Regions from separate parts of the Mus musculus genome. Here regions 2, 3, 4, 5, 6 and 7 are each reported to be linked to region 1. Evidence: microRNA targets listed by miRTarBase, many of them from high-throughput screens and not tested one by one. Region 1 holds a microRNA gene; each other region holds the end of a gene's coding sequence.

Region 1 (4,308 bases):
TTCTGTAGCGATATGTCTTGGAGAGCTCCTGGGTGGGCCATCATTTTGGGTAAGGGCGCCTTGGGTAACCCTTTGGGGGGTGTGCGGAGAAGGGGGGGCATGTGAATCATCTGGAAGTGTAACCTCCAAATGTGCCCCCTCAGGCTCACATCCGGACCGTCATCGCATCTGTCATCGCACCGGACCAGCTCTCCCCAGCGCTCCTTATCGTTTGCTACTTGAAGAGAGGTTATCCTTTGTGTGTTTGCTTTACGCGAAATGAATATGCAAGGGCAAGCTCTCTTCGAGGAGCAAATGCTGCCTGGAAGCATGGCTGGCGGCGGCCTGGGCCTAGCAGAAGGGTGTGGTCTCTCCAGGGTAAGTAAATGCATGGTGGGCCACCGAGCTTGAGCTCCTTCTTCGTCTGACCCTACAGATCTCACACATGCTTCTGAGAACTTTCTAGAAAAAAATGCTGATCCTAAGGGCTGTTCTTGGTAGAGCCTAGGAAACTGTGCCTCCCCTTCTGACAGCCCTTCGCAGTGTGGTGTGCATGCCAGGTCGTCTTCTAAGGCCAAAAGAGTGTCAGCAGCAAGCCAGTGCCCATTTAGATGTGGGTTTTCTGCCCACCATTGCCAACCTGTCCTTACAATCACCTTTAAGGCTTCCCATCCACTTAAGGGAAAGGGGGTTGGTGGATATCCAAAGTAAAGATGCTCCCAGAGGCTACCAAGACCATTAAGCCTCCTTCTCCAGGTGTCCTCTTCACCTTGTGTGTCACAGCATGAATTTATGTTAAGGTTGTCTAAAGAACCTTGGTTCTGGGGGTCGGGTGGAGGTGGGGCATCTCACCTCCCTCCGGTGAGCCTTGCATGGGTCTGATGTTTATAGTGATAAGTCTCCCATAGTCCTCTGAACTCCCCAAGAAGGGCAGAAGGAAGGTCCAGAGGTCTCCATACTGCTCCAGTTTGGGGAAGAGGGTGGGGGCTTTCAGAGAGCTAGTTTTCCGGTTTTTCTTCTTTCTTGAATGATGCATGTTGCTGTGCGTACTAATCCTGCTCTTTCGATGACCATCTGGAGGACTTCCTGGAGGCTGCAGCTGTGGGCACAGGTGGAGGCTTTCTTGCCAGGGTGGCTTTGCAGGCTCTGGAATGCCAATCATTCTCTGTCACTTTTTTGTTAAGTTACACAGAATCCCCACCCCCACCCCACCCCATGCCCATCCTCCCATGCCCCACCCTAGTCTTTTGGAAGATCACCCTGTTTTGGAGTGATACTGAGAAGTAAACTAACTTTAGGGCTGGGTACCAGTGTGCAGAGTATGCAGCCAATTCCAGAGCCAGCCAGCTGAGGCTTGCTTCACCAGCCCCTGTGCTCAGCCCAGGCTCACAGGTGCTTCACTGTTCCCTGGCCCAACTCTTGGTTCATGTAAAGAGGATAGCCTCCGGTATGTTCTCTTTATTGATGGTAATAGACTGCAAGAGGCACTTGTCCTCACATCTAACTCTATCTGGGAACTACTCCAGCCCTGTTCCATCTTTGGGTCAGGTCTCCTGATACAACGTGACTTCTGACTTTCTCGGGTATGTACCAATTCTTGGTTCTAAGATGGGACCTTTGGCTAAGCTATTAGTCTCTGGTCCTCCTTGTCCTCTTGGTGCCTGATCTTTTGCTCTTGAGGGTGGGAGAGGGTACTGTGGTGCCTGTTGCACTTGCATTGAACATAATCACCCAACAGTGGCTTGCTTGTTAAAAGACAGTGGCCCTCAGACCTGCCGTCTGTTTGTACCAAGCCATCTCCAGAGCCTTGTTGCTCACAGCATTCACCTTAGAAGATAAAGCATGATGTTAGACTATCCCAGCTTTGATACAAGTACTGGTTTATACATCTTTATTTATAATGATTTCAGGCCTGGTCCACCCCTCTCCAAGTGAGGACTTCCTGGAAGTGGTGTCTGTCTTTGGGAAGAGGCTGAAGTTTCCCATTCCGTGCGGTCTATCTGGTGTTCTTCTGTGGCTATACCTAGATCAGAAGGGGGCAGTTTTAACAGCCCGCACCTATGGAAGCAACCCATCCCGTCAAAAAAAGGTGAGTGTTTTTCCTTGCCATGATTCAGTGCAAACCTGTGGCCATTCCTGCCTGCTCTTTTCTGGGGAAGAGGTCCCAAAAAGGAAAGATGGTTCCATCATTCAGTGGCATGTGGAGTTTGACCCCTGTATGGCATCAACTTCCTTCTAGTTCTGTCCCATTCCACTATCGGGCAGAATTAGTGGGGCAGGGTCCGGTCCTGGGAGTGACACTGATACCCGTTACTGGGAAGGCAGAAAGGATTGGCTTTAATCACTTCTATAAATTCCTGGGGTCCTCCTGTCCTCTGTGTGCAGTGTACAGCCAGGTGGGCATCATAGAGAAAGTGCTAAGGATAAGATTGTAGTCCTAACCAGGGTTTACCTACAGAAAGCAAAAATCTGAGTTCTGTATTTCCTGAGAGAGTGAAAATCTCAATCTGTTGTAACATCTGCCAGTAATATCAGAAAAAGGTCCCCCCCACCCCCCAAGTATCTGTCCCAGCCCAAGCTCCTTGGATGGAGAGCTGACCAGTGGGCACACATCTGGCAGGTGGTGTTTGCCATGTAATTGGCTGATTCCGAATCTCCCATCATCCCTCCCCAGGCTAAGTCCCAGGAGACGAGGCTGACCCCGTGAATGCTAGAGCGGAACCTGCCCCATGCTATTGTTTGGTACTTAAAGCGAGGTTGCCCTTTGTATATTCGGTTTATTGACATGGAATATACAAGGGCAAGCTCTCTGTGAGTATCAAACCTTATCTTGGATCCCGTCCACACTCAGCGAGGGATGTGGTATGTGTGTGCATGACCGTGTGTATCCATCTTGTGTGTGACAAACTGCTTCCTGGGTTTCCTTTATGCACCAACGGCTTCATGGGCGCAAGATGACTTCAGGAAAGACCTCGGGTACATCCCCTCTCCTTGTCCATATGGGTTGGTCCCAAAGCATGCTCTCTGTGTGTAGCCTGGGTCCCTGCTTTCCCAGGCTGATGGTCAGGTCTGTGCTGGTGTGGGCCGTTGTTTTTTGATGTGCTGCCGTGCCGTGGTACCCAAGTGTGCATGTTCTTGCTTGGTGTGTGTGACCCAGTCTGCTAACGCTCAGCGTCTAATTCGTCCCCAGGACCCTACCTGGAAGACGTAGCACGTCTACCTGAGGCGGTGGCTTTGCTTTCCAGGCCGAGCTTTGGTACTTGGAGAGTGGTTATCCCTGTCCTCTTCGCTTCACTCATGCCGAATCGTACAGGGTCATCCACTTTTTCAGTATCAAGTGCGCAGACTCTGCAGCCTGGCTTCCTGCGCCTGGATCCTGCCACTGCCACTTCCCATCACACATCCTTGGACAAGGGTGTCGCCGTGTTATGCTCCTTGTCTCGTGTGTCACTCGCGAGTCCTCTTGGGGTCCAATGCATATGGCTCTCGGGGGCTGGGAGAGATCAGGCTCTTGTAGGGACTAGGCTCATTATTGACCATGTGCCAGCCCAAACTTTTGTCTGCTGGGAGCTGACTGCTGGCAGCTATGATGGTGATATACAAACCTCTCCTTGGATTTGGGAGCCCATGTTGAGACAGACATTCTCTGTCAGTCATGTGAGTGGGTGTTGGAGCTTAGAGTTTGTGCTGGACTTACAAGGTGGTGCTTGTGACTCGGCAGTGACATCATTTCTGTAGCAGCTTCTAGAACAGAAGACCCCATGCCGGGGGTCAGCAGGGCCACCCACAATGCTTGCTCCACTTAAGATGGACACTGCCTGGCTTCTTGACCCCAGCCACCATTACCCTTAGAAGAGGCTAACGTGAGGTTGTCATGCTGAGTCCTGGGGAGTCATTTCTATAGCCTCTCACCTCCCTGGTGCTTAGAATGGCCATCAGTAGTACTGCATGCATGGTGCATGTATGTATTGGGTGCAGCCACGTGTGAGGAGTGGTGATCACTCCCAAGAGGCCTATGGATGCTGGTATTCCTGCTGTGCTACTGTTTCATACTTGAGGAGAAATTATCCTTGGTGTGTTGGCTCTTTTGGATGAATCATACAAGGATAATTTCTTTTTGAGTATCAAATACTGCCCTGGTGGACTTCCGGGATGACGAGACGGTTGTTTAAAGAGGTGCCTGGTGCATGATGCATGGGTTAGCCTTACCTGGGCACAAGGCAAGAGAGCACAGAACTGATGTGTAAGAGCTACACTCTGATCCCAAGTCAGGATCTTGCTTGAAGAGTCCAGGGGTTCCTACGTGGCTTGGTCATGGTGAGATAGCAC
Region 2 (3,000 bases), not on the chromosome of region 1:
ACAGCCTGCCAGTGGACCTCAGGTTTCTTTAGGAATTGTTATTTGTCATCTACCACGTTAGAGTGCCTCATGACTCTTGGGTGGGTCTCCTTGTGAATGAAGTCTGCCATAGGATGGTTTTCTGGGCTGCAGTAGCAAGTAGTGGAGCCCTTGTTTTGGGGTCAATATCAGCTTTCAGACTTTTTCCCTTTCCTTTATGCCTTCTCCATGTTTGTGTCTTAAAGTGTGCCTTTTATTCTCTTCAGGTCTCCCAGTCGCTGGGCAAACCTCAGAATTTGTTAACCAAGTGTTAGGGAAGACTGCTGAAGGCAACCCCACTGGAGGCCTTGTAGGACTAAGGATACCAGCATCAAAAGTGTAATCAGCCTCATTGGACCACTGGTCAGAAATGTCTGTTTTTGTCATGTTATCCATTGTAAATTTTCATTCTGTTTTGCATGTCAATTAGCATTATGTAAACATTTATAATTAGGTTACATTGTTTTAAAAACAATAGCATAAGTGAAGCATGATCCAAAATACTTGATTATTGCATTTTCAGAGCATAAACCAGTGACCCTGCTGCTGGCATGAGAAAGAAGCTCACACATTAAGTAAATATGAGGTACAGATTGTAAACATTTGTTGAAGCAGAGTGTTTTGGGTGAGTGAATATATTAGTATAATGCTGAGTGTTAAGGTGGGTTTATGCTCTGAACCACACAAAAATACCGAGGAAGCATTTTTTTTCAAAGTCCATTTAGATTGTTTTTAGAATGACTGCTTTTTGTTCTAATTTTTTACAGCCATTAATCTCACATGTACATGGCGCACCCAGCACTCACGTGTGTACCATGTTTAGATGTTTTTCAGAACTCAATATGATATATAAAAATACATATATATATATATATATATATACATACATATATATATATAGAATTGTCTGTGCAAGTAAGAAAAAGCATACTCTTTGTGCCTTGTATTTTGGGGAAACTCTAAAACTGGTAATATTTTGTATGATGAAAATCCTAATGAGGAAAACCAAGATATATAGATGAGAAAATTATGGGGTTTAAATGTCTTTTTGTTCCAACTCTTTTTCAGATTTTTTTGAATGTATATAGGACTATGTCAAAATGTAGATATATGCCACAGAGTCTGTGTATTGTATAAAAAAAAAAACAAAAAACAAAAACAAACAAAAAAAGATGGCTCTAGAGAACTCCTATTTCGGTACTTGACCGGAAGAAAATACTTGCACATTATTGCGATTGTTTTATTTTTTCTACCAAAGACAAATGCAACTGGTATGGCAGACTGCCAGTCTAAGTAAAGTTTTGCACAGCTTACATGATACTGTATGAATGTATGAAACAGAGAAAAAATTAAAAGGTCAGGGTTAGGGATCTTACTCAACTGTGAACTTTATTTCTGTTTGGGTCCAATTATCTACAGAAGGAGCATCCATACATCCAAATATTATTTTGCTGTCCTCTAGTTTGCTTCCATAGTAGATAAGTTGGTGGCCACTTAGGTGTCTTTTATTTCTGCAGTTATTGTAGGAAATTTTAATATATTTCATATTAGTAAGCTATTGATAAAATAGTTTTTGACTTTGAAAATTAAAGTTTATTTAGCTTATTGTAGTATACTTCCACCAAACAACCAAAATACAGATTATTTTTATCGTATTATGTATATATATATGTAAAGAGATAAAAAAGCTAAAAATATCTAATACTTTAGTTGCCACTTTTCCAATTGATGTTATTGTGCATGTAATATTTTCAAAGATCAACACAAGCTTAAAACAAATTTATAAATTTTTATATTTTTGTACAGGTATTTTCTTCAAACTTACATGTGACTTATCTTGTGTAGTTTCTAGACTTGAGAAACATGACCACGCTTAGTTTTAGGTGCTCTTCTTTGCTTTAGTGGTCAGTTGTAGCTGTGCTCAAGCTTTGCCTCTTGATGAGAGATTCCTATGCCCCACAGGTCCTTCCATCCCGTCTTTCTTGACTGTTTTATCTCAGATCTTGTGTTTGGAACTATGAAAACTGGTGGCTTCAAAAGTAAAAACAAACATATCTAGAAGAAAAGCCTGAGATGTCAGACATAGTTGCTGTTTCTCCACCACCTTTTGATAGAACTAAGATAGCTGTCCTTGGTCTGTCTGCACAGGAGTTTCTTTCCTTTTTCTTTCTCCCCTTTTGTAAGCTATAGCACATGAAGTTTCAATTAGAAAACACAGTTACAATCCAAAAATGTGTCTGACTTGCCTCTTTGACATCATGAATCATAAGAAACCAAGACTTGTCTTGACACGTTAGCTGAAACTGTGACAAGGTTCCTGTGTGTTTGGTGGAAATGTACCTTTAGTTCATCCACCCTAACAGATAATAAGCTCACGTGTCATGGTTAACAGAATTAAAGTTTTACTTTCTATGTGGGAAAAGGCAAACCATAGGTTCACAAATGGAAGTGTCTGAAGTCTCGAAAGTGTTCCAGAACCTGGCGGTTTTCAGTCAAATGACTGTCACTTCATGATCGCGAGTCAGTTGGCGAAGTTTATAAAATTGCCCCTTTCTAGCTACCCTGTTTTAGGAATTCTGGTTTTTTGATACCTTTTTCTTGTCTGCAAACCAGAATTTGATTTTTGGTCTTGCATTTCAAAACACTTTGAATCTGTTTAGTAGATTCCATACCCGTGCATTTCAGTGTTTTATATGTACTCCTTAAGTTAAATAGTTGAAAGCCTTTAAATAGTTGAGCTTTTTAATGTTGACTCTTTATTTTGTACCTATTTATATATGTATGTATATCTTAGGAAAGCACTTTGTTATAAAATTGCATTTTATATGATTCCTGCCATTTGCTGCTAAACTTGGGCTGGTCAGAACGCTGCAGCGATACTTGATCTAAATAAAAACCTGGCAGTAAAATGTAGAGTGCAAGTTAAATCCTCTTGCTGTTTAAGATGACATAGGCAAGCTGTGCAGCTTTACATTTTAACCA
Region 3 (4,308 bases), not on the chromosome of region 1:
AGCTATAGTATGTGAGACTGTGTCCCACAGTATGCCCTTTTGTTCACACTCCGTTACTTGCAAATGCTCATTGCAATGAGTCCTTGGTCTGGTTTGAGGCCAGGACTATCAATACTGGATCCTAGGACTCCTCTCAGATCTGCTTTTTTACCTGTGTCACTGAGATCCCACAGCTTTGGGTCTGCAGGACCAGTCCTTTAAAGAGCTCCAGAAGCCCAGAGATGATGTGGATGTTGGGGTGGGCCAACTTAAAGCTCTAGATTTGGGCCTGGGTTGTAGCTGAGCTGGTCAGACCTCCAGCTCTCCAGCACCCAAACTACCAGGCAAGTTCTCCAGCATTGCCCTGGCTTACCCAATGCCAATCAGCAAGGGGCAGAGCCAGCTCTTCTGCTCTCATGCCCCTGGGGGTCAGCTCACCCACAACCACTCCAGCAGGAACAGCTTTATTATGCTGCCCAGGTGAGGCGCAGAGCCCACTCTACCAAAGTGTTGCAACTGGTGAGGGGCAGGGCTAGCTCTCCAGCTCTGCAGACCCCAGGGCCAGCTCTCCCACCTGCATTTCAGTGGGCCCTAAGGTAGTTGCCTCTGTTACAGAGTCAAGTCCTAGAGAAAAAAAGCTTGAGTCAGGGCTAGAAGAAAGTTTGACTGTCCCTGACACACAGACTGAGAGTACAAAGATAAAAGGTTTCAAAGCAAGATGGCTCAAGCTAGGGTACAGTCCAACTACATGAGCTTGGTCCCCAGAACTCACATGGTGGGAAATAGGACAGACTCTTGTAGGCTGTCCTCTAACCTCAGTGCATATAGCAAACAGATGGAAGAGATGTAAACTAGGTAAAAGGCTTCAGTTTTTTTGTTTGAGAACGCTATACTAGCCAAAACAAAACAAAACAAAACCCTTGAGCTTGACTTAAAATAAGGGGCACCAAGCTCTTGCCAACAACTGGACGGTTTTCTCAACCTTAGGGGTGGAGGTGGGGTGGGTATGGAATAACTTTGAAGGGGAAAGCCACAAAAGCTAGTGAGAAAGGAAAGCCTTGGTCAGAGTCAGGGTCTATATCCAGGGACTTGTGTCCAAGTTCCATTCCACCACTGCCTCAGATCTAAGTGTCTCTACTCCACATCGCACACTGAGAGCTTTCTACTTGGCTATCCTGTCCCATAATACTCTAGACCAGGGAAAAAGTGAGAACAGATAAACTGAGGGACCTCAAGGGAGATCTTGGATTTTAAGCTCAATCCTTAGCTGGATTGGGGCACGGAGGTGGGGTGCTGGAATGCTTTCTCTGTGAGGAAACATAGTTCCAGAGACTTTGTAGCAAGAGATCAAGCTGTGGCTAGGACTGCTAGGACAAGTCCTTCACTTCCTCCCACATGGAAGAAATCACACTGCTCAGCCAATCCGAGGCTTTGGATGTAAAGAGGCCTGGACCATTTCAAGACAGAACTCTTCATACCTAGATTCTGGGCACTCACAAACTCTTTCCTGTAAATAGAATGAATAGTGTAACTGATGATGCAGAAGCCATGACAGAACAATCTATGCAGCAGAGCCCTCTAGCCTGGGAACAAGTGAGGGGAAGGAGCCTAACCCTAAGCCAGCCCCCTTCCCTAGAACTTCAATAAAGGGTAAGCTTCTGCAACACTGTGCTACTAAAGACTGCCCTGTAGCAGTCTTGGGTGCTTAAATAAGATACACTATTACAATGTGATACTGCAAACCCTGGATACCCAATGCACATGTACTTAGCAAGTGTATCAAAACACACACACACACAAAACCTCTGAAACAGCTTTTTATTAAACAGCAAAGCAGAACTTGAACACAATTTTAAATATCTGTAACAAGGTCACAAAAGGGTTGCAAAATGTCTGCAATGTGAGGATTACACATCCATATAGCTAACGTCACTCATCAAGGCTTACATTAATACATTAGATAATTCCACAAGTCAAAGCAGCCCAGCCTAAGAGCCACCAGCTGCATTAGTGGATCTTTCCTATTATAAGACTTCACTATTATTTCTGATATCAGCTCCTTATCAAATGGAAGCTACAAACTAAATTTTTAAAATTTGTTAAAAGAATGACTAAAATTCTGCAAACTAAGTAGTTGAGTTTACAGAAATTCTGGGAAAACAACTGAGATAAAATACCGAGGTTAATAATTATCACATATACAAAACTCTTATATTCATGATTCTGATATTAATATACTCTCAATTAATTTTGCAAAAGTTCATTTCCTGGGTACAAATAAACTTTGAGACCAAACTCTTAACTAGTCTCTCTTAATCCACTTACATTAGACTCAGTCCACTTTCATATATGTCCCCAAAGTGCAGCTGTGGGCCAGAGGTAATACACATTTAGAGGGAAAACACTGCGAGCTGGTTATTTCTGTTAATCCAGTTTTCCTTCTTATTCCTATCTTTTCTCAAGTTTTTTGTTTGTTTGTTGTTTTTTAATTTCTCACACACATATGACCAGCATTCCTATCTTTTCAACACCAAATGAACTATTTTATGCAATAGGGAGTTTTTAGCTTCTCAGTGTGGCAGTTTACATTTCAAAGAAAACTCTTCATTTTCTATAGCTTCAATCTACTTTCGATTGATTAAAGAGAAACCAGCAATCCTATCTTATTACTAAATATCACAAACGGCAAGCCTTAGATAAGAAAGTGTCTTATTTTGGTTAAGTGTCAACAATTCTAGTTTAGGTTACTCTTGTAGGAGAAACTGCTGAAGTTACCGTCAGGGAGGGAGATGGGAGAGGCACAAGACGGTGCACAAGGTACAGAAGCTGTGCATTCAGTACATGGTTTTGGTCACTTTTCACAACATGGTTATTTTTTTGTATATTTTACTAGTTAGGCTTATGATAAAAGACAGTGCTAAACCTATATATATATAAGCAAATTGGCAAAACATTCATCTTCAAGTTTCATAAATATCTGTAATTCTAATATAAAGTCTCTACATGTGCACATTTTCATAGACTAACGTATACATATAGCGTTAACTCAGAGATGCTCCTGTTCAGCATTAGTGTTACCTAGATGTGACATTCTCTTTATAAATACTCAGGGAAGAACAAAGATACTCTAACTTTTGGATCATATCCAAGCCTTAAGGGGGAAGAAAAAAAGCAGCAATCCATAGAAGAGAGGGAGGTGAGCCCTTTACTTCCTTTTGCTTTTTGTATCAGTTGTTTGAAAAACACTAGAAGCAGACATGAGGTTTTCTATATATTGTCCGAGAACTTGATTTTCCGACTTTAGCTTCAGATTTTCTTCCTTAACTGCATCTACTCTTGCAGAAAGATCTGTATTCAAAATAAATAAATAAAAATACAATTACCAATAAAAATCATGGCAATGACTCCATGTTACAAATGCAGACCAGGCTGTGGGGTGACTCAGTGCTACAGCCCTTGCCTAGCATGTGTGATACCCTGAATCTGATTCGTAGCACTAACAACAAATAAATATCACAATTTGTAAGTTTTCTGTTTTTTTTTTTTTTTTTAATTCAGGTTATTGGGGGAAAGGCTTAGGTTAAAAAAAAACCTTGTACTGAGTACAAATCAGAAGACGGTGATTGTTAACAGTGTTTGCCATGGGACTCGGGAGTCTGTAGAGAGCATTTCTTTTAACTCTTGAGGTGGTTAAGAAAACATTGCATTTCTAAAGTATGCCTGTCCTCCCACACATAATGGTCATGTCTTTACTGGAAATGTTTAAGATGCAGAGCTTAACACAACTGGATTCCTAAGTTGGATAAAAGATCCAAGCAGCTGATCTTTTTATAGTTTTATATTAGTTAAAAATTCAAGAGATATAGATTCTAATGGACAAATAAAAAATTATGTCCATTCACATATTTAACAAATGTATATTGACCAACAGAAGCAGACACCATTCTAGAAGCAACAGAGAAAAACATGGTTGTATGTGGGCACCTGTGACTCAGTAACATGGGGCCCAGGTATCAAGAGTCACAACTTTTCTAAAGAAAAAGCAAAAATGGCTAAGGGTCATAAAAGCAGATTAGAAAGCACTTTTTAGAGTTAACTCTTTTGCTGCAGGTAATTTGACCAGAGTTCTGAAGGAACTCAGGAAACGGGCCACACAGATAGTAACTAAAGGAAGAGATTTAGAGCAGCATTTAAAGTGATTACAGAGACTCAGAACAGCAACACCCTGTGTTCCCAAATAACCTGAAGTGGGATGTATGACTGCTACTGCCAAGTGAAAGGCTACTGCTCACTTTGTGCCACAAACAAACAAAACCACCCCAATACTTA
Region 4 (4,308 bases), not on the chromosome of region 1:
GGAGGCCAGCTTGGGCTACATAGTAAAACTGTGGAATAAATAAAGCAAAGCAAAAGCCTCAGGTCACAGGAAGGTAAAGACCAGTGATCCCTGTCTTTTTAGATTTGTTTGTTTGTTTGTTTTTAAGTTGAAGGTAATGACTTTGAAGCATTAGTAGAAACTAATCTATGATTCTAGCTGCATTAAAACTGTATATAGCAAGTTATAATTGGTAGTTAGGTTTGTGTCCAGTTTCTATGAAGTATATTGTATATCTACATACATAGAATCAAGAGGAAAGCATGTGATATCTCCTTCTCTTAACCATCCTGTAAACATTGGTACTGAGTTTTATTATTGCTTTGGCTTTTAAACTAAATTACCTAAGTTTAGCATACAGTAATGAACTTTTCCTTTAACATTTTGTTTTTAACATTTTGGACCTTTTATGGAATGAATCCCATACAGAGTGTGCATGTCGGTGAGGTCCTGCACCATGGAGTGTAGGCTCAAAGCCAGAGTCTACACTGCATCTTACCTCCGACCTATTTGGGCCTGTGGGGCAAGTTTTTAAAGTCCTGTAAAGCCTTTCCTGAAGGTACAAAATGCAGCTAATCCTTGTACTGCTTCAAGTCATTCAAGAACAAAATGACATTTACATGTGAAGTATTTAGCTCAGCACCTGGATCATAGGAAGTACTCAACATTTATTACTATGTTTCTGGAATATTTCTTTCCCAAATTACACTTGTCTTTATAGTACAGATACAGTATAGTAAAGAATTTAATTTGCTTTGAATCTGACTTTCTCCTTTTCTTTTTCTTCATCCTATTTAGTGTCTTTTTCCTTGGAGCCATCCTTGTAATAGCAGCTACTTTCTTGTACGGTTACGATCCCAAACCTGCAGGAAATCCCACTAAAGCATAGTCATGTCCTGTCCTTAACTGGATTCTCACAGTGGTGCCCTAGGAACCTCAACATTAATCTTGCACAGAGGACTTCTGCAGATTCTATGAAGAAATCATCAGGCTAAATCTGATCGTTCTGTTCAAATGGTTTGAAAACGTGTAGCCTTCAGGATGAAGTGTGTCCGTCATCTGCAACCCAAGCTTGGAAGAGTGTCCAGGAAGTAGGCTTAGAGGGGATACTGGGAGGAGGCCTTACGTCTGAGCTCCTAGTGACTTCAGCCTTTTAGTTGCTGTAGCACTGTCCAGTGCAGCCTTTGCAAGAGCACACACATGCAAAGAAAGAGCAAGGTTTGCAAGGTAGATCTGCCTACACTTATCCCATGTTCTTAACCTTACCCTTTCTGTACAGATGTATCAAGCTACATGATCTATTTAAATGGAAATTTATAATTGCCTATCAAGCTGTGAACAAACAAATATAATTTAAAACCATTTTCATGTATCCAGGGTTTTATATCTATACAGAGGATTCCTAAGGAAAGGATTGACAAGTTTTACTTGTTTAATTCCATACGATTTGATTAAGTGATCTGGGTTTGAATCATATTTAAATTTAGTGTAGAATCAATCTCTCTCTCTGTCTCTCTCTGTCTCTCTCTGTCTGTGTGTGTGTGTATGTGTGTCTGACCATTTACTGCTTTGAGGCAGCTGAATGCAGTTTGGTTCTTCCCGTGCTAGAGTGGCAGAGACTGGCCCTAGTGGAGCTTACTCATCATTTCCCAGGTCTGTCTCTTTTCTCATTATTCTCATCATTACATTAAATTGAATTTGTGTGTCCTGCCATTAAAAATTTTAAGTGAATTTAAAGGGATTAAGTACTCATTTAATAATTGAAAATAAAATAATGATTACTGTCTAGGCTCCATTTTGAGAAATCTAAACTATGAAGCATATATTGAATGTAGTTTTGAAATGGAGAATTTTCTTGTTAATCTGCAGTAGCAATTTCTTTTAATCTTTGACAGAAACAACAATCAAAAGAGTGTTAGTTCTCTCAGTGGACCATGATTAAACTGATTTCCTTACAGACATTCCCTACTGCCATATGCTACTTTCTTTTTTCTTTTTCTTAAAGCATATTGTAACTTGTTTTTTTGTTTTTCTTAAGGCAGATTTTCATTATGTAGACCCAACTGGCCTTGAACTCACAAATATCTATCTGGCAGCCTCTGCCTGGTGAGTGATGGGATTAAAGGTGTGGGCCACTCTGCCCACCTCACTACATTGTTTTAAGGGAGTTGCATTATATTTTAAGTTCTAAGGCTATTTAGAAGTTTTTATGTCTTAAAGCCCACTCTCCCCACCTGATCATGTGTCTGGCAGATGTGACTGCCTTCAGGGTTTCCTCTCTGGTGTTCCTGTGAGTCCTTCTGGGAAGGAGCAACCATTTGCTTTAGAATAGTAGATTTTCTTTCTTTTTAACACTGGAGTTGAGGATACAAATTATGAGTTATTTAATAATAAATTCAAAGGAGAGAGAATATATTAGAAATAGTAAAGTAAACCGGGAGGCAAAAATACGTTCTATATTTGGAATATAAGTTATTTAATTATTGTCCATATGCAGAATTACCTATTGAAGATCTATTTTATTCTTTCATTTATATTGTATATATTTTAAAACTTTGTTCAAATAGATACAAACCTGTAAAAAGGTAATTATTTTTTATGTAGTTCTAATAGATTTTGTTAAATGGAATTTGACTCAAAAGCACTGTTGTTAAGAACTGTAAGGTTCCCTTGGCAACCTTGGATTGGCTATTTGATCTTATCAGAGCAAATGTACTTTCAACAGTGGACATGACTAACCAATTCCATTCAGAGTTTCAAAGTACTTAAAATGATAGAATATTTAACATCATTGCACCGATGAGGATAAAGTGATAGCAGGCTTTCTGAATGCCTGGTTTATGGTTTTCAGTGACTGCCTTTTAGAGCTTGACTATTTTGAGCATGGTGTGAGGCCACCACAGCATTCAAGCATATGTCCTAGGACCTATAACCAAGTACAACCCAGATCCTGCAAATGCACAAAGTTCAAGAGGACAGATTCATGGTCTGCTCATATTAAAGCATTGTGTGGGCAAGTGTGTTAATACAGTGTGGATTCAAAATGATTGGTTATTTAGATATGGTCTACCCTGTCTTAACCCTACAGAAATATAGACAAAGAAGCAGTTGGATAGTAAGGTTGTTCAAGTTATAATACATTTTAGGTGTCTGAAAATCTTTTATGCATCATTTATATTTTTCCTTTCTAGTCAGTTAAAAAGTAATTGGGCTGAATGTATAGTCTAAAAATTTATAAGGAAATAATAATATGTGGGGGAAATGGGCTTGTAACCTAGATTGTGTCATATATATTGATGCTGAAATTTTGTGTAATGTGGTTTGTGTTTTGATGACATTCAAAGGTGTTATTGTGTCATGCTTCCATAACTCTTCGATTATTTAAAAGTTATGCTTTTAAAGGTGTACTTGTTATTTCTCAGCTACTTTCACTAAAGGCACGTGTGAGTTCATGGAGAAGAAGCCTGCCAGCTGAGAGCTGTAGTAAGGTTAGGTACAGCACACTGGGAGAAAGCTTCATGTCCCGGGCAGGCCCTTAGTGCAGCAACAGCAGCTCCTTACTGGACGCTTTTCAGGTTGTAAGTTACCTGTGCAGTAGAGCATAGAGGTTGGAGGTTCAGAACTGACATGTTTACATCAGTTTCTATGGAATGACACAGAAGTTCATATGAGAAAAAGGCAGCTTGATATTTAAACCACAGTCTATATTAAGAAATTCCAAAAAGAAATTAGTCGACATCCTGCTCTGAACCATAAAATAGAATACTGTTCTTACAAATCCGGTTACTAGACTTTAAAAATGTCATTATACTGTCATTCAATGAAGTGTTTTTGTTTCCTTGTCTTTTTGAGGCAGCATCTTAACTGTGCCACCCTGGCTGCCTGGGGTTTACTGTGTAGACCAGGCTGGCCTGGAAATCACGGAGATCCGCCTGCCTCTGCCTTCAGAGTGCTGGGATTAAAGGTGTAGGCCACCACCCCCATTTGAGTTTTGTTTTGTTTTACTTAGTTTTTAAAGAAAGGCTTTAGTGTCACTCATTCTATTTAAACATTCATTGTAGAATATTTTATTACTATATATTTTTACCCGGGATTTATAAAAAGTAATTATGTTATACTGAAAGTCATCTCAAGGATCTCCAGGATAATTAAAGTAATCGAATAGGGCCAATGAAAATGCACCTTTATCACAGTCTGGTCCTATGTGCCTTGCCTTACCAAATAAATACCTGACTTTTATGGAGAATATACTGTAATTTACAACTGTAGACACATACTTGAAAGTGGGAT
Region 5 (4,308 bases), not on the chromosome of region 1:
ACTAAGCTTCACCAACACAGGGATCACTAGAGGCCAAGGCTAACATGAGCAAGCAGTGCTGAGCTGCTGTCAGGGCTCCAGGTTTGATTCTCTTCTATACCCAGCTGTAAGTCCACCCTTCGGAGCCATAGACACTAGACACTGTCAGTGGTCCACAACAGAGTGGGAGTTGATAATGTTCAGCAAGTGCCTTTTCTAGGACAGCCAATCCCTGAAGCAGGCAGGAAAGGAGTGTGCTAGATTCCCTGAGATGGAAGTCTAAGTAGAAGTAGGCATAGAAGGACATGTCAGCTACCCTCTTACCGTGTAGGAGGGTAAGAAGGAATGGGAGTGAGCTTCTTCACCACCATAGACACCTCCACGTTCACAATCAATAAGCTCAACTTCAGTGTATGGCTTTCCCAGCAGACTAAGTTATGGGTCTCAGTGGGAATGGGGGCACTGCATCATCTGAACTTAGGAGTCAGATGATTGGTTGGGGTGCCATGAGAAAAAGAGCAAGGCAGAAGTCTCCCAGTCACAGGTGGCAGGGGAGGACTAGGAGGGTGTCTGGGGTAGTTTCATCAGGTCAGGAGAGCTCTCAGGAGCAGGGAGCAGGCGCACAGAGTCCAGGCTTCATCCTCATGGTTCCTTGCTGCCTTCCAGGTTCAACCCTGCAGTCGCTCATCTGCTCCAACGATGCCCTCTTCTACTTTGTCTTCTTCTACCCTTTCCCCATCTTTGGCATCCTCATCATCACCATTCTGCTGGTGCGCTTCAAAAGCCGGAACTCCAGCAAGAACTCAGAGGGGAAGAACGGGGTGCCCCTGTTGTGGATCAAGGAGCCTCACCTGAACTACTCCCCGACTTGCCTGGAGCCTCCGGTGCTCAGCATCCACCCGGGAGCCATTGACTAAAGAGGCTGCCCACTCCCAGCAGACGTTGCCCATGGCAGGGTCGGGTCAGGGGAGCCCTCTGGGCTTTTCCTCATTGCTTCGTGCTCTGTGATTGGACAGGCGACAGCACCTGAACTCTGCAGTTTCTCTGCAGGAGCCAGTCAGACCTGGAACTTGTTGGAAGCTTCCGGTCGAGGTGATGGTTGCCTCTGGGCGGCAGCCCTGGTTAGCTGATCACACCCAGGTGTCATGATGCCAACATCCTAGGTTCCTAGTTTTTGGTTTTGGTAACTTAGTGCGTAGCTCCAGGTGCCGCATCTACTCGCCAATCTAACTCATGTTCTCAGATCGGTGCTATGGGGTTTCCTGTGCTGTGTAATGTACTCTTTTAAGCCCCTTGGGTCCTCTCCTTTTGGATCCCATAATGTTGTGGAAGAGTTTCTCTCACAACTGATAAGCAAGAGGAAGACGCCTTCATAGTAACAAGGATTCTCTTCCAAGACATTTTTGTTTTTGCACATTTGAAAATGCCACCCGTGGATCAAAATATACCCAAACATTTTTTCTTTTTTTTTCTTTTTTTTTTTTTTTTTTTTTTTACTTTCTTAGCAAGACTTGAAAAATATGTGTAGCGTGGGCCCAATTTGTATCTTATCTCTTCCTTCAGCCGGAGTTGTTGGAACCACTTTATAGTCAAGATGAAAGCATTGAATTTCGCTTCAAAGGACTGACTGCACATGTGCAGAAGAAACCCTGCAGGACCCTATTAGGAGCAGATGGTGGCCAGCCAACCAGTCCGTCAGGGAGGCAAAAAGGCTCAGTCCCATCATTGCCAAAAAAGAAAAAAAAAAAAATAATAATAAACGAGCCAACCTGAAGGAAGGGTCAAGGGCTCCAGGCGGCACCCAGTTTCTGAGGGTTGCCCTGATCAAAGGCAATGACTGGGGATGAGGGGGGGACGGGTGGTTGTTGGCTTGGCTTTGGCAAGCTTGGTCTCTTGACTTACCCCTGGGCAGGTAGCTTTCTTCTGTAGGTGCTTTGCCAAATTTTCAAGGGGACATGTCTAGTGAAGCCTGAAGGGGCTGCCCTGAGTGGAGGGAGCATTATGGCCAAAGTGGCCCCTGTGCACAGGCCCAGTGGAGTGTGCTGAGCTGCTACACTGAGCTTAGCAGAGTGGAGCGTGGGAGGGCGTCTTAGAGCCTGGTTGAGAGGTTGGAGGAGTGCTTCCCTCTGTCTTCCTTCCAGTGAGCCTTTCCTCGGAGACGGTGAGGGCATCCTTATCCATCGCAGCTCTTCCCGAATCTCAGTGCCATGGAGATATTGTCCTCGGATAGGACCAGGCACAGCCCTTTGCCATTCTTGTTGTCCCCCTGCTTTCAGCAGACAACTCAGAACAGGAGCTGTCACTTTCCTTTGTTAGAGTGTGTGTGTGTGTGTGTGTGCGTGCGCGCGTGTATGTTTATGTTGTTTGGTTGTACTGGTGGCTTTTAATTTTCAGCCCCCAAATCTGAACTCCACTGCCTCCACTCTGTTAAGCCAGATGCTTAGCTGCCCTGGAGCCTCATCAATTGTAAATCCTCCCTTTTGTCACTCTGAGGGTCTCGTGACCCCTCTCTTCCCCATCCTTCAGTGGCCACATCTTCTCTGGGGAATTTGCATCCTGAGTCCCAAGAGAGAGCCCCTTGGCAAAAGGTACCCAGGATTGTGGAAGTAAATTTAAGGAGTGATTTCTGCAAAGCCTTGTCCTGAGAATAAACAGACAACACAAAGGCTGCAGGACTTCCAGGTCATTGGGCCAGGCTGTTATGGATCCTTCCGAGGAGTCTGCTAGGTGTGGGCCGTGTGCTGAGCAGAGAGGGCAGGAGGCAAGATGCAGCCTGACAATCCTTCCTGGCCCTCTTGTTCTCTGAGAAGTGTCCAGGCAGCGCCACCTTAATCCTCCTGTGCCTGCCCTGCTGATTCTCATTTTTGCTGCACGAACACATCAGAGGGACCAAATTGGCTCAGTCACGAAGAAAGAATGTCTTTTGTTCTGTTCCTTCGATTCATGGGTGTGGGCTCTTGGTGGGTAGTTGCTGACTCCTGAGTTTTAGGCTGAGTCAATGAGGGAAGATTGACGCCAGAGGGCTGGCCTGGATTAAGATTTCAGATCAGCTCTGTAGCAGCAGAAGACTCAAGTAAATATGCAAAGCAACCGCAGGACGTTTGCAAGGAGCAAAGAAATCTATGTCAGTATTTTAACAACCGTTTTTTGCGTGTATTTTCTGCAGGGCTGGGGTATGCAATCAAAGTTTAAACTCTGAGCTTTCTATGAAAACAAAACAAAACAAAACAAAAACAAAAAAACAGAAAAGAAAAAGAAAAATCCAAAACCCTCAGGACCTCTCTGTGGCTGGGTCTATGGACATGTGTTGTCGGATAAATGGTGATGGCGCCCTCAAGTGGCTAGAAGGCTTCACTGCATATTGTCTGTTGAGGCTTTTGTCCTCCGAGATCAGAGTACTCAAGAGAGACTCCTGACATCTGTCCTCTCCAGTGTCACATTTATGAGCATCTCCACTGTGCTAGGCCTGTCCCAGGACACTATATGACCACACCCTCTCTCATCGGTGTGTTTCTGTAGCAAGTCTTCATATTTGTTTCCAACAATGGTGTCTCTGCGTTCATGTTGAAGACAGAGATGGGGTAAGAAGACTATCCGTGCATGAAGTAGAGAACTGTTGGTTTGTTTCTTTTTTTTTTTTTAAAGGAGAAGCTATTTGTAAGCCACTGCACAAAGACGTTTTATATACACTGCAGAGACCTGTAGTAAATTATGTTGACAATACGCTGTTTACATTTTCTGGAGTCTGATGGCCTCCTACCCCTCACTGAAGCAGCCACCTCCTGCTGTGGGACTGTGCTCAGTGGGTGGCCTGGAGTTTTGCTCTTGGCACTGATGTACCAGATTCAAGTTTTACACGCTGTAGCTTTTCTATGCATGCCCTCACCCAACCTAAATTATGTTTTTTTGTATAAATGATAAAAAAAAACTTTCTCAAGACACTTTTGCCACATGCTGAAATGTATCACAACTCTACACCTACCAGTTAAGAGTGCAGCCCTGGAGCTGTGACACAGGTGCCCCCCGGGCCTGCTAGGCAGACTGGGAAGCTGGCTTTGCTATGGGTTATGTGACTAGTTTTCCTTTGGTGGGAAATTTGGGGTAAGAAGACACCAGTGAGAATAGCCTTCCAGCTCACAGGGCCTCTGCTGCCGAGACCCAACTGCCCTTCCCAAGCCCCGCTAATGCTCATGAATGGAAGTGGACAACAGGCATGAGAATAGGAGATGGACAGTCCAGGTGGTGAGACTTGGACACCAGTTACTACTGTGGGTGATTGACAGATGCCAACTGAGAAACATTGGAATATTGCAAGCCCTAGAGGTGACC
Region 6 (4,308 bases), not on the chromosome of region 1:
AAGGAGGCACACTCCCTCCCCTCCCACCCCAGTTACCTTGTAAAGGCAAAATTACAACCGACCATGACATCCTCCCTCTCGTCAAAAGACCAACTTTAGTTTATCAATGTCATATAAACAGATTTGTAAAAACATTGAACAGAGTGTAGCTTTAAAAAATACACACATATAAATGAGGGCTTTTTTGTTTGTTTTGATTTTTTTTTCTTCTTAAATAGCAGCATCCTGGGCAGCCAATGCTATCTCATGGCGACAAGCTCGGTATGAAGCAGGAGAGTCTTTCCAATGGAGCCAATTCTACCCTCTCCCTACCCCCAGTACTAGTTATTTTATATAATTATAGATTGTTGTAAGAAAGAGAAGAATTTGGCATTTTGGAATGTTGTCCCATGGGAGGCATTGTGCTTCTTAACTGCCCCTTTCTTAAATGACCCTAAATTCGAACAGACAACAAAACCCACTTTCCAACTGACTTGGATACCATGCATTGCGAAAGCACAGTTGAGAAAACCTGCAAGAACTTTCTCCCAATAAAGAACATCAGTAGGACTTCCCAAACAAGTTATAGTTCATAATCAGATATACGACAAAGCGATTGGTTCCCCACAATGACAGCTCACAGAAACACACTCTGACTTGACAACACTGAGAACAGGGATCCATCAGGTAAGCAAATCATCCAGGCTGCTCCCTGAAAGGGAAGAGCTTCTAAAAAGAGGAAAGTATCAAATGACGGACTTCTCACTTCACTTGTGGACAAATTGTACTTTATAAGACAAAACAAAGCAATAGCAAAGAAATACAGGAACACACACACACATACACACACACACACACACACATATACAAGACCTGTACTGGACATCTGCTTGTTATGTACTTGAACTTGACTGTGGATCTGCGTGGCTGAAAGGTGTATTGGAAACAGTCCATGCACATTATACATATATACATATATCCAGGGCTGTGAAGTTGTCAAATGTTGCAAAATATGCTTGCTGCCTTATCCCATGGCTATGATCACTCTGGTGTGGAACACAAGGTCCCAACCCTCCCACTTCTATAGTCTAGCTTAGTGTCTGGCTGTCTCTAGAATGGGACAGTTGGTGAGAAAACCTGAGTGGGCATGCTCACATCCCAGCTATGCTGTATCTATCTGCATTCATGAGCCACTCGGTGTTACTAGAAGATGGCTTGGATGGAATCCACAGAACCTTAATGGTCAAACCTCTCCAAGGACAGAGTTGGTGAGCATGCTAACCTGTCACCAAAAGGGCATTCAGTAGGACAGGTGTGCTATAACTCAATGACTCCTGCCTTCTGACACATGAAAGCTCTATTGTACTCACGTCAGTGAGATGAGAAATTCAGGCAACTGCCTAAGTTGCAAGTTATCTTGCAGAGAGTGTTGAAGGAAAAAAACAAAACAAAACAAAACAAAACAAAACAAAACAAAAAAAAACCACTTAACAGAACTTGTCACGAAGCAATCTCAGATCCTTTTTAAAAATTAAAGTTATTTGTATCTGATAGCATACATGATGTGCTACAAAAAGAAAAAGGAAAGAGAGAAAGGAAGAAGAGAGCAGAAGCCAACCACAAACCTAGCTTACAAATAAGTATTAACTCTTCAGTTGTATGTGGTGTGGCGGAATGCTACCGCTGGAGGTTGCAAAGCCCAGAGTCAACCCGGGGAATCAATTTCCTGGCAGTCAGGAGGTGGTCGGGTCAAGTTTGTGGGCTGACAGTCTGGTTGACTGACTTTTGCTCTTGAAAATGAGCAGTGGCTTCATAGGAAGAAAAACACATTCTACAGACCATTAACCCAGACACTGGACTGCAAATTCCAAGATCAAAACAAGAGCAACATTACAAGACCCCTTCCCCCCCCCAAATAAGGGAAGAGCTATAAAGCTGCAGGTGTGTCTGATATTGAGAAAGAGAAACTGATGATGGCTCATGAATCTACCTGGGCTGCGACAGGGACTACCATCAACCTCTACCCATCACAGCACATGGCAATTCCCCATGAACTCACCAGCTTTGACACATATACACTAGGGTGGGAAACTCGAACTTTTGTCCTGAATTAAAGATGTCACCAACTGCTCCCTTTGCACACCGTGATGTATGCAACATGCACAATCACGCTAATGAGAAGACCTGTCCGAACTGTTAAATGTTTGCACTTAACAATCTCCACAAAGCACAGTGACCACCCACTTGGGTCTACTTGCCTTCCATTCTAAACTGAACTCTGAACAGAGAGCTGGAAAAATATCAAGCATCCAACTAGATGCTGTTTTTTCAGACCATGATTTAGCCAAAATGAATGGTGACTGGCTGACTGCTGTGACTAGTCCAATGCTACAAAGAGAAAAGAACACATTTTCTAAATGCAGGGATTCAACCTTGAGACCAGTGTGTTACAACAACGAAAGAGGGCACATTCCAGGAACCCCAGAACAAACTCAGCACTTCATGACAACGGAGATGCTGGCCAACTGTGCTGGGATGGAGTTACAACATTAGGTCTGGAGTTGCTGTTAATTGCTAATGACTACCAAACTCAGATGGGGAAAGACAGGAGACAAACAGCCTGGCTCCTCCCTTCTCTGGGATCCCTAGAAAGTGCACACCACCTTACTTCCCCCCCTCCCCTTACCCCGCCTGTTACAACCCATGACTGCCTCCCCCTCCCTCCAGATTCAAGAAGTTCACAATTCATTAGGAAACAAACATTGCCAGGTACCGTATTTCAAGAGTCTTAACACTGTTGGACTCAGCAATACTTTGTCATATCATATATCATTTTCTTTTTCTCTTTTTATTGAATAAAGCAGCTTTGAAGCTTATCAGGGCCCTGCCCAACATTTAGTCCAAAAAAAAAAAAATCTGTTATGAACTTTTTAACCTTGGGCTAACAGCCAAGTATTCTGTACAAGAAAAACTGTAAAATATTTCATAGTTTTAATTCTTAAGCCATTCTCCTTTCTGGCATCCTGTACACTTCTTTAAAAAAAAAAAGTAAAAATGACAAAAACAAATATTAACAAAAATCAGGGACAATATTTTCAAGCAACAAAAACTGGGGTAAGGGAAGCTTATTCCAAAGGTGTATTTGAAACGGGTAACAACATAATAAAAATTAAGAATTGCATAGCGCTGCACGTTTATAGCCTTCAGCAAAACAAAACAGAAGCTATTTGGTATTGATACAAATCCATCTATTTGATAGTTAGTCACCCAATATTATGTACATATTTTATATACTGAATGTCACTGTAAGTCTCCTTCTCCACACTCTTTTTTCTGTTGGTGGGTTGTTGGTTGCTGACTTGATAAGTTTAAACAAAAACGTTTTCTGGTGTTTCATTTTTCCTCCGAACAGACTGCATCAATGTTCTCTCAAAGTGTCCTGCGTGAGCAGACGCGGCTCTCTGATACATATCATTCGCTCTTTTAAAAAGGAAATAATCCACAGTGTGATGTGTCTGGGTTCACCACACCCAGCGACACCCAGGCTACACCAGGCTGGACCAAGCGGCCCCAGGCGCAGGCTCTTCGGCCCTGTCTACCTTCTGGTCTCCAAAGTCCCAACTTGTAGCTGGTAAAGCTTCAGAAAGCGTTAACAAGCACCATGGTTAAAGGCCTCTTTGTCCCTGCACGGAGAGATTTTTGCATTTCTTTCTCTCTGTGTGTTGGTTGTGTGTTGTGGCTTTAAATTAGAAAGAAAGAAAGAAAGAAAGAAAGAAAGAAAGAAAGAAAGAAAGAAAGAAAGAAAGAAAGAAAGAAAGAAAGAGGATAAGGTTAGAAACGTCTGGTCATCCAACAGTCCGAGGCTGCGTGTCTTCCCCGACTTCTTTTTGTCCAAGAAAGCTCTAGTCCCATGTGCAGACAGCCGGCTTCATTTCTGCAGCTCAGTTCACAGGTCGGGCTGGAGAGGAGCCCTTTGCTTCTCAGAGGCCTTGGGTGGCTTGAAGGTGAGGAACTGGATCCGAGGGCAGCGCTTCATCGCCTCTGTTGTGCATATACTGGGTATGCTAGTGTGACATTGAGGGAGTCATTGTGCTGCACGAGGGAGGTGTGTTGATAATGTAGCACCAGCTCCTTCAGGGAGCTGTACAGGTTGTAGGGCTCGGCAAAGCCATAGCCGGTGGCAGTCTTGTTAATGACGCAATGCTTGACTTCGCCGTCTACCCTGGAAAGGGGAAGGGAACAAAAAAGTCTTTTTCAGTGGTTCTCAGATGATCTGGAATGCTGCAGGGTATTTTTAAACAAAGCCGACCTCGTGGAGGGGCACAGTGG
Region 7 (4,308 bases), not on the chromosome of region 1:
GCCAGTTTTATCTCTGTTGTCAGGAGGCTAGTAAACCAGCAATGGAAAACACAAGGAACCAGCAGCAGGGGAGTCGGGGTGGGGATGGGAGCAGCAGTGGGGGTGGGGAGGGGATGGGAGCAGCAGTGGGGGTGGGGAGGGGATGGGAGCAGCAGTGGGGGGTGGGGAGGGAGCAAAAGAGGGGCAGCAGTGGGGACAGGGGAAGCAGGGCAGGAACCAGCAGTTGGAGCAGCACCCAGGGGAAAAGCGGCTGCCACAGGCCCACTCAGGTCTTCTCCAGAGTCCCCAGACTATCTGCAGCTGGTAAGTCACCCCCCACCCTCAGCCCCCAGAGTAGGAGACAATCATAGTTAATGGCTGTGGACAAACTGAAAGCATCCTTTTAGGATATTTAAACAAAAACATTCATAACTGAGATTTAAAAGAAACCAAAACTCTCACTATTTTGTCATATTCTGTATACATCTAATTTGATGATATATTGTGAATTCTTGGTCTTCTTGCCTCCATCTCCAGAGTGCTGGAATATCCCAGCCTTGTAGCAGAAGGGTGAGATGGTGCACATCTGTAATCTAGCACTCAGGAGGCAGAGGTAGAAGGATCTCTAGGAGATGGAGGTCAGCCTGGTCTATAGAGAGATCCTGTCTCAAAAAAACAAAACAAAAACAAGCATACACCACCAAGCCTGGTATATTACTGCTAAGAATCGAACCCAAACCTTCCTGCATGTTAGGCAATCACTACGCCCACTGAGCTACATCTTCTGTCCCCAAATCAAGATTGTTGAATAAAGGATACCTCTTTTCTAAAAAGCTTAAGGCCACAGAATAATGGGGTTAAACTTGACATTACTGTACATTATAGTTTACTTTTAAAAATATTGTACAGTATTTCCCGATCCTTGCTAGAGCGTCATCTTCTCCCTGGTTATTTATATTTATAAAGTCATATAGGATCAGTTACCCATATAAAGTGTCATACAGGAACTATTAAGAGGCAAGCCTGGGGATGTGGCTTAGTGGTAAAAGGCTTGCTAGCATTCAACAGGCCTCAGGTTCTAATCCTAACACTGGAAAAAAAATATATAAGACTTGATGTTTATGGATGCATATTTGTAATGTACATCTTCACGTGTGTGTGGGCCTGGTGTCAATGTCACATTCTGACAATTGCTCTGCTCTCCACCTCGTTTAGGGCAGTGTCTCAGAGTCTGGAGCTCACTGACTGACTAGGTTGGCTGGCCAATAATGAGCACCAGGGATTGGTCTACCTCAGTCCCTCCTGGTGCTAGACAAGGTGACCATACCTTGCTCTTCTGGTGCTGGGGACCAAACTCAGATCTTCAGCCTTGTGCAGCAAGCATTTTACTTGACTGAGCCATTGCTCTTGCCCTTAAAAAGCTATCTTTTAGCTGGGCATGGTGGCGCACGCCTGTAATCCCAGCACTTGGGAGGCAGAGGCAGTCGGATTTCTGAGTTTGAGGCCAGCCTGGTCTACAAAGTGAGTTCCAGGACAGCTAGAGAAACCCTGTCTCAAAAAAAAAAAAAAAAAAAAAACCACCAAAAATAATAAATAAATAAATAAATAAATAGCTATCTTTTAAGTATAATGTAACCAGTGGCTGGAGACACCTCATTTGCAGAGGATTGGAGTTCAGTTCCAAGCATCCACATTCATGGCTCACAACTTCCTGTAACTCCAGCTGTAGTTCCCACATCCTTGTTTGACCTCCATGGGCAAGGAGAGACACACACACACACCACACACACACACACCACACGAGTGCATGCATACATAAAAATAAGAATGCCAAGAGCTGTGGCAGGTGGAAGGTAAAGGTAGTAAGAAGAGTTCAAGGTCATCCCCAGCTACATAGGGGATTTGATGCCAGCCCAGGTTATGAAACACGAAACCCTGCATCAAGAACTTCCCAAGAGCCTCCCTGAGATGTGTGGTTCTTCAGCCAAGACTCCAAAGAAACTCATGGATGTTAAACTGGGAGGCATCCCAACCTCAAAGGTATGCAGTGGGGCACTGAAATTATGCCCAACAAGAGGATAGAGCACAGCTCGGTGGACTTGGCGCTGGCACCCATGTGTTCCCCAGCTTCTGTGTTCCCCAGGTTAGCAGAAGCTCTCACATTAGTGACGTGCGGGTCCCAGTAGGGCCAGGATAGAGGACTCTGCACTCTTGAATAACCAAATGCTCAGTTCTGTTCATGAAGAATTCAACCAAGGCTAAATCTTCATATCCTGACTGAGAACTGATGTCTAAAAAAAAGTAACTGGTAACTGGAAAAATACACATAAGAGAAGAACAAGAAACCAGGAGGAAAGGAAGGATAAAGCCCCAGAGCGTGGGGCTGGAGAGAAGCCTCGGCAGTTATGAGCACTTGCCGCTCTTGCCTAAGACCCAGGTTGCTTCCCAGCACCCACGTGGCAGTTTCTACCTACCTACCTACAGCTCCAGTTACTACAGGGGGGCCTATGCCCTCTCTGGTCTCTACATGCTATCACAGAAATGTGGCACATGAACTCACGTAGGCACGTGTACACACACACACACACACACACACACACACACACACACACACACACAAATAAATCTTAAAGAATAAAGAAAAAAAACAACAACAAAGAAAAAACTTGAAACTTACATCATTCCAATGTTCTGTATGGGGTTCTTTGATTTTATAGATTCAGAATAGAAAAATCAGAATTTTCTGATACAAACATAAAAATAGAGCACATTTATTAACAGTAGGAAAACCATTTATAATAACAATGCATTAAATCTCACATAATAAACACAGGCAAAAGAGAACAAGAAACTTCTTGATATTCTGATACAGTACAGTCAAAGACTGTCCCATACACACTGTAACATATACCCACATAAAGCATTCATTTCAAAGGCAGGAAAAAAATGACTTTTGCCTGTCAATGAAATAGATTTCCTGGTTTTCAATTTTGATTATGTACTACAGATAGACTTCAAATATTTAAAAAAAAAAGTTAAAAACAAAAGCTGAGCATGGTGGCACATATCTTTAGTCCCAACATTAGAAGATCTCTCTGAAATCAAGGCCAGTCTCCTCTACATATCAAATTCAAGGCCAGCTAGACCTACAAAATGAGACCCAGTCTTTACAAAAAGAAAAGCAACAGCAAAAACCCATATTCATTCCTAAAATAAACATCTTTATATATGTAACATCTTTTTTTTTTAAATATTCTATACAATAGTAAATACTTGGAAAGTTCTGGATTTTATTTAACACTTCTGGCCGTCTGGCTTGCTTGCTTGAGCAGGTTTTCAGTTCCCCTGGGAGTCACAGGTGCTTTGGGTCCACCGTCCCGGTGTACAGAGCTCTATTTCTTCTTCTTTTTCTTCTTCTGTGGCTCATCATCAGAGCTGCTCTCAGAACTGCTGCTGCTGCTGCTGCTGGACGAGCTGGAGTCCGAGTCCGAGGAGGAGGAGGAGGAAGAGGAGGAAGAGGAAGACGAACAGGCCGAGGAAGAGGAGGAGGAGGAGGAGCTAGAGAGGCTTTCATCTGAGTCACTGTCTTCTGAAGAGGATGAGGCGGATGTCTCACTCTCTGATGAAGACTCACTGGCCGAACTGTCACTGCTAGAGGTACTGGAACTCGTGACACTCTTAGACCTATGAAGTCACACAAAGTGCACACATGGGAAACTGACATTTTAATTCGGAGCTCAGAGATGCTCAGGCTGAGCCTCTACAGCCAGCCAGCCCTAGGTCTGATGTTTGGGGATTGCCTAACTCTGAAACCCTTTACAAGCTCTGTCATTTCAGCAACTCTCATAAGCTCATAAGGTGTACCTCCCATACTACGTCATACTGAGCATGCTGGCACAAGCCCGGGATCCTAGGAGATAGAGGCATGATCCTAGGAGATAGAGGCATGAAGGTCAGAAGGTCAAGATCACCCTCAGCAACACAGAAAGGTCAAGGCTAGTCTGTCTGTCTGTCTGTCTGTCACACACACACACACACACACACACACACACACACACACACACACTCTGTGGCTGTAACCCTAGCACTTAAGAAGCTGAAGTATGAGGATCACCGTGAGTTTGAGACCTGCCTGGGCTACAAAGTGAGATCTAGTCTCCAGAAAATAAAACAAGAGCTAAAGAAAGGGAAGGCTCAGCATTTAGGGGCCTTACTGTTCTGTCTGTCAGAGGCCTGTCAAGGAATTCGGATCCCAGCACCCATATCTGGCAGCTCAAAAATACCAGTAATTTCAGCTCCAAGGGATCCAATGTCCACTTCTGTCATCTA

What was found. Region 1 holds the annotated microRNA mmu-miR-381-3p (UAUACAAGGGCAAGCUCUCUGU, at 2,771-2,792, shown strand). A microRNA usually pairs through its seed, bases 2 to 8, with sites in the 3' UTR of a target mRNA and lowers its output. Matches are read on the target gene's strand: a 7mer-m8 pairs with bases 2 to 8, a 7mer-A1 pairs with bases 2 to 7 and ends in A, and an 8mer does both.
Region 2: miRTarBase lists Crebrf as a target of mmu-miR-381-3p. Seed matches in the 3' UTR shown: 7mer-m8 at 959-965 and 7mer-A1 at 1,148-1,154.
Region 3: the mRNA of Scoc is a reported target of mmu-miR-381-3p. Seed matches in the 3' UTR shown: 7mer-A1 at 2,177-2,183.
Region 4: the mRNA of Slc35a3 is a reported target of mmu-miR-381-3p. Seed matches in the 3' UTR shown: 7mer-A1 at 2,555-2,561.
Region 5: miRTarBase lists Igsf3 as a target of mmu-miR-381-3p. Seed matches in the 3' UTR shown: 7mer-A1 at 3,886-3,892.
Region 6: the mRNA of Pik3r1 is a reported target of mmu-miR-381-3p. Seed matches in the 3' UTR shown: 8mer at 843-850.
Region 7: miRTarBase lists Zcchc10 as a target of mmu-miR-381-3p. Seed matches in the 3' UTR shown: 7mer-A1 at 3,236-3,242.

What each region holds. Positions count from the first base shown.
Region 1 is chr12:109,724,100-109,728,407 of GRCm38, forward strand. Mir381 (microRNA 381) reads left to right here and starts at 2,723; the gene lies at 2,723-2,797. It overlaps Mir487b (microRNA 487b), which reads left to right and starts at 3,234; the gene lies at 3,234-3,315. It overlaps Mir300 (microRNA 300), which reads left to right and starts at 214; the gene lies at 214-292. It overlaps Mir539 (microRNA 539), which reads left to right and starts at 4,030; the gene lies at 4,030-4,103.
Region 2 is chr17:26,771,047-26,774,046 of GRCm38, forward strand. Crebrf (CREB3 regulatory factor) reads left to right here. Exons shown (of 9, transcript NM_029870.2): 9 at 246-3,000. The coding sequence ends at 361. Among named protein-coding and RNA genes, the nearest start is that of Bnip1, 8.5 kb to the right of the region's middle.
Region 3 is chr8:83,432,714-83,437,021 of GRCm38, forward strand. It overlaps Scoc (short coiled-coil protein), which reads right to left. Exons shown (of 4, transcript NM_019708.4): 4 at 1,779-3,327. The coding sequence ends at 3,185. Among named protein-coding and RNA genes, the nearest start is that of Scoc, 7.8 kb to the right of the region's middle.
Region 4 is chr3:116,670,227-116,674,534 of GRCm38, reverse strand. Slc35a3 (solute carrier family 35 (UDP-N-acetylglucosamine (UDP-GlcNAc) transporter), member 3) reads left to right here. Exons shown (of 8, transcript NM_144902.4): 8 at 817-4,308. The coding sequence ends at 907. Among named protein-coding and RNA genes, the nearest start is that of Gm51275, 4.8 kb to the right of the region's middle.
Region 5 is chr3:101,459,142-101,463,449 of GRCm38, forward strand. It overlaps Igsf3 (immunoglobulin superfamily, member 3), which reads left to right. Exons shown (of 11, transcript NM_207205.2): 11 at 646-3,919. The coding sequence ends at 896. Among named protein-coding and RNA genes, the nearest start is that of Gm40109, 47 kb to the right of the region's middle.
Region 6 is chr13:101,680,869-101,685,176 of GRCm38, forward strand. It overlaps Pik3r1 (phosphoinositide-3-kinase regulatory subunit 1), which reads right to left. Exons shown (of 16, transcript NM_001077495.2): 16 at 1-4,201. The coding sequence ends at 4,012. Among named protein-coding and RNA genes, the nearest start is that of Pik3r1, 85 kb to the right of the region's middle.
Region 7 is chr11:53,331,657-53,335,964 of GRCm38, reverse strand. It overlaps Zcchc10 (zinc finger, CCHC domain containing 10), which reads right to left. Exons shown (of 4, transcript NM_026479.4): 4 at 2,664-3,663. The coding sequence ends at 3,372. Among named protein-coding and RNA genes, the nearest start is that of Zcchc10, 9.1 kb to the right of the region's middle.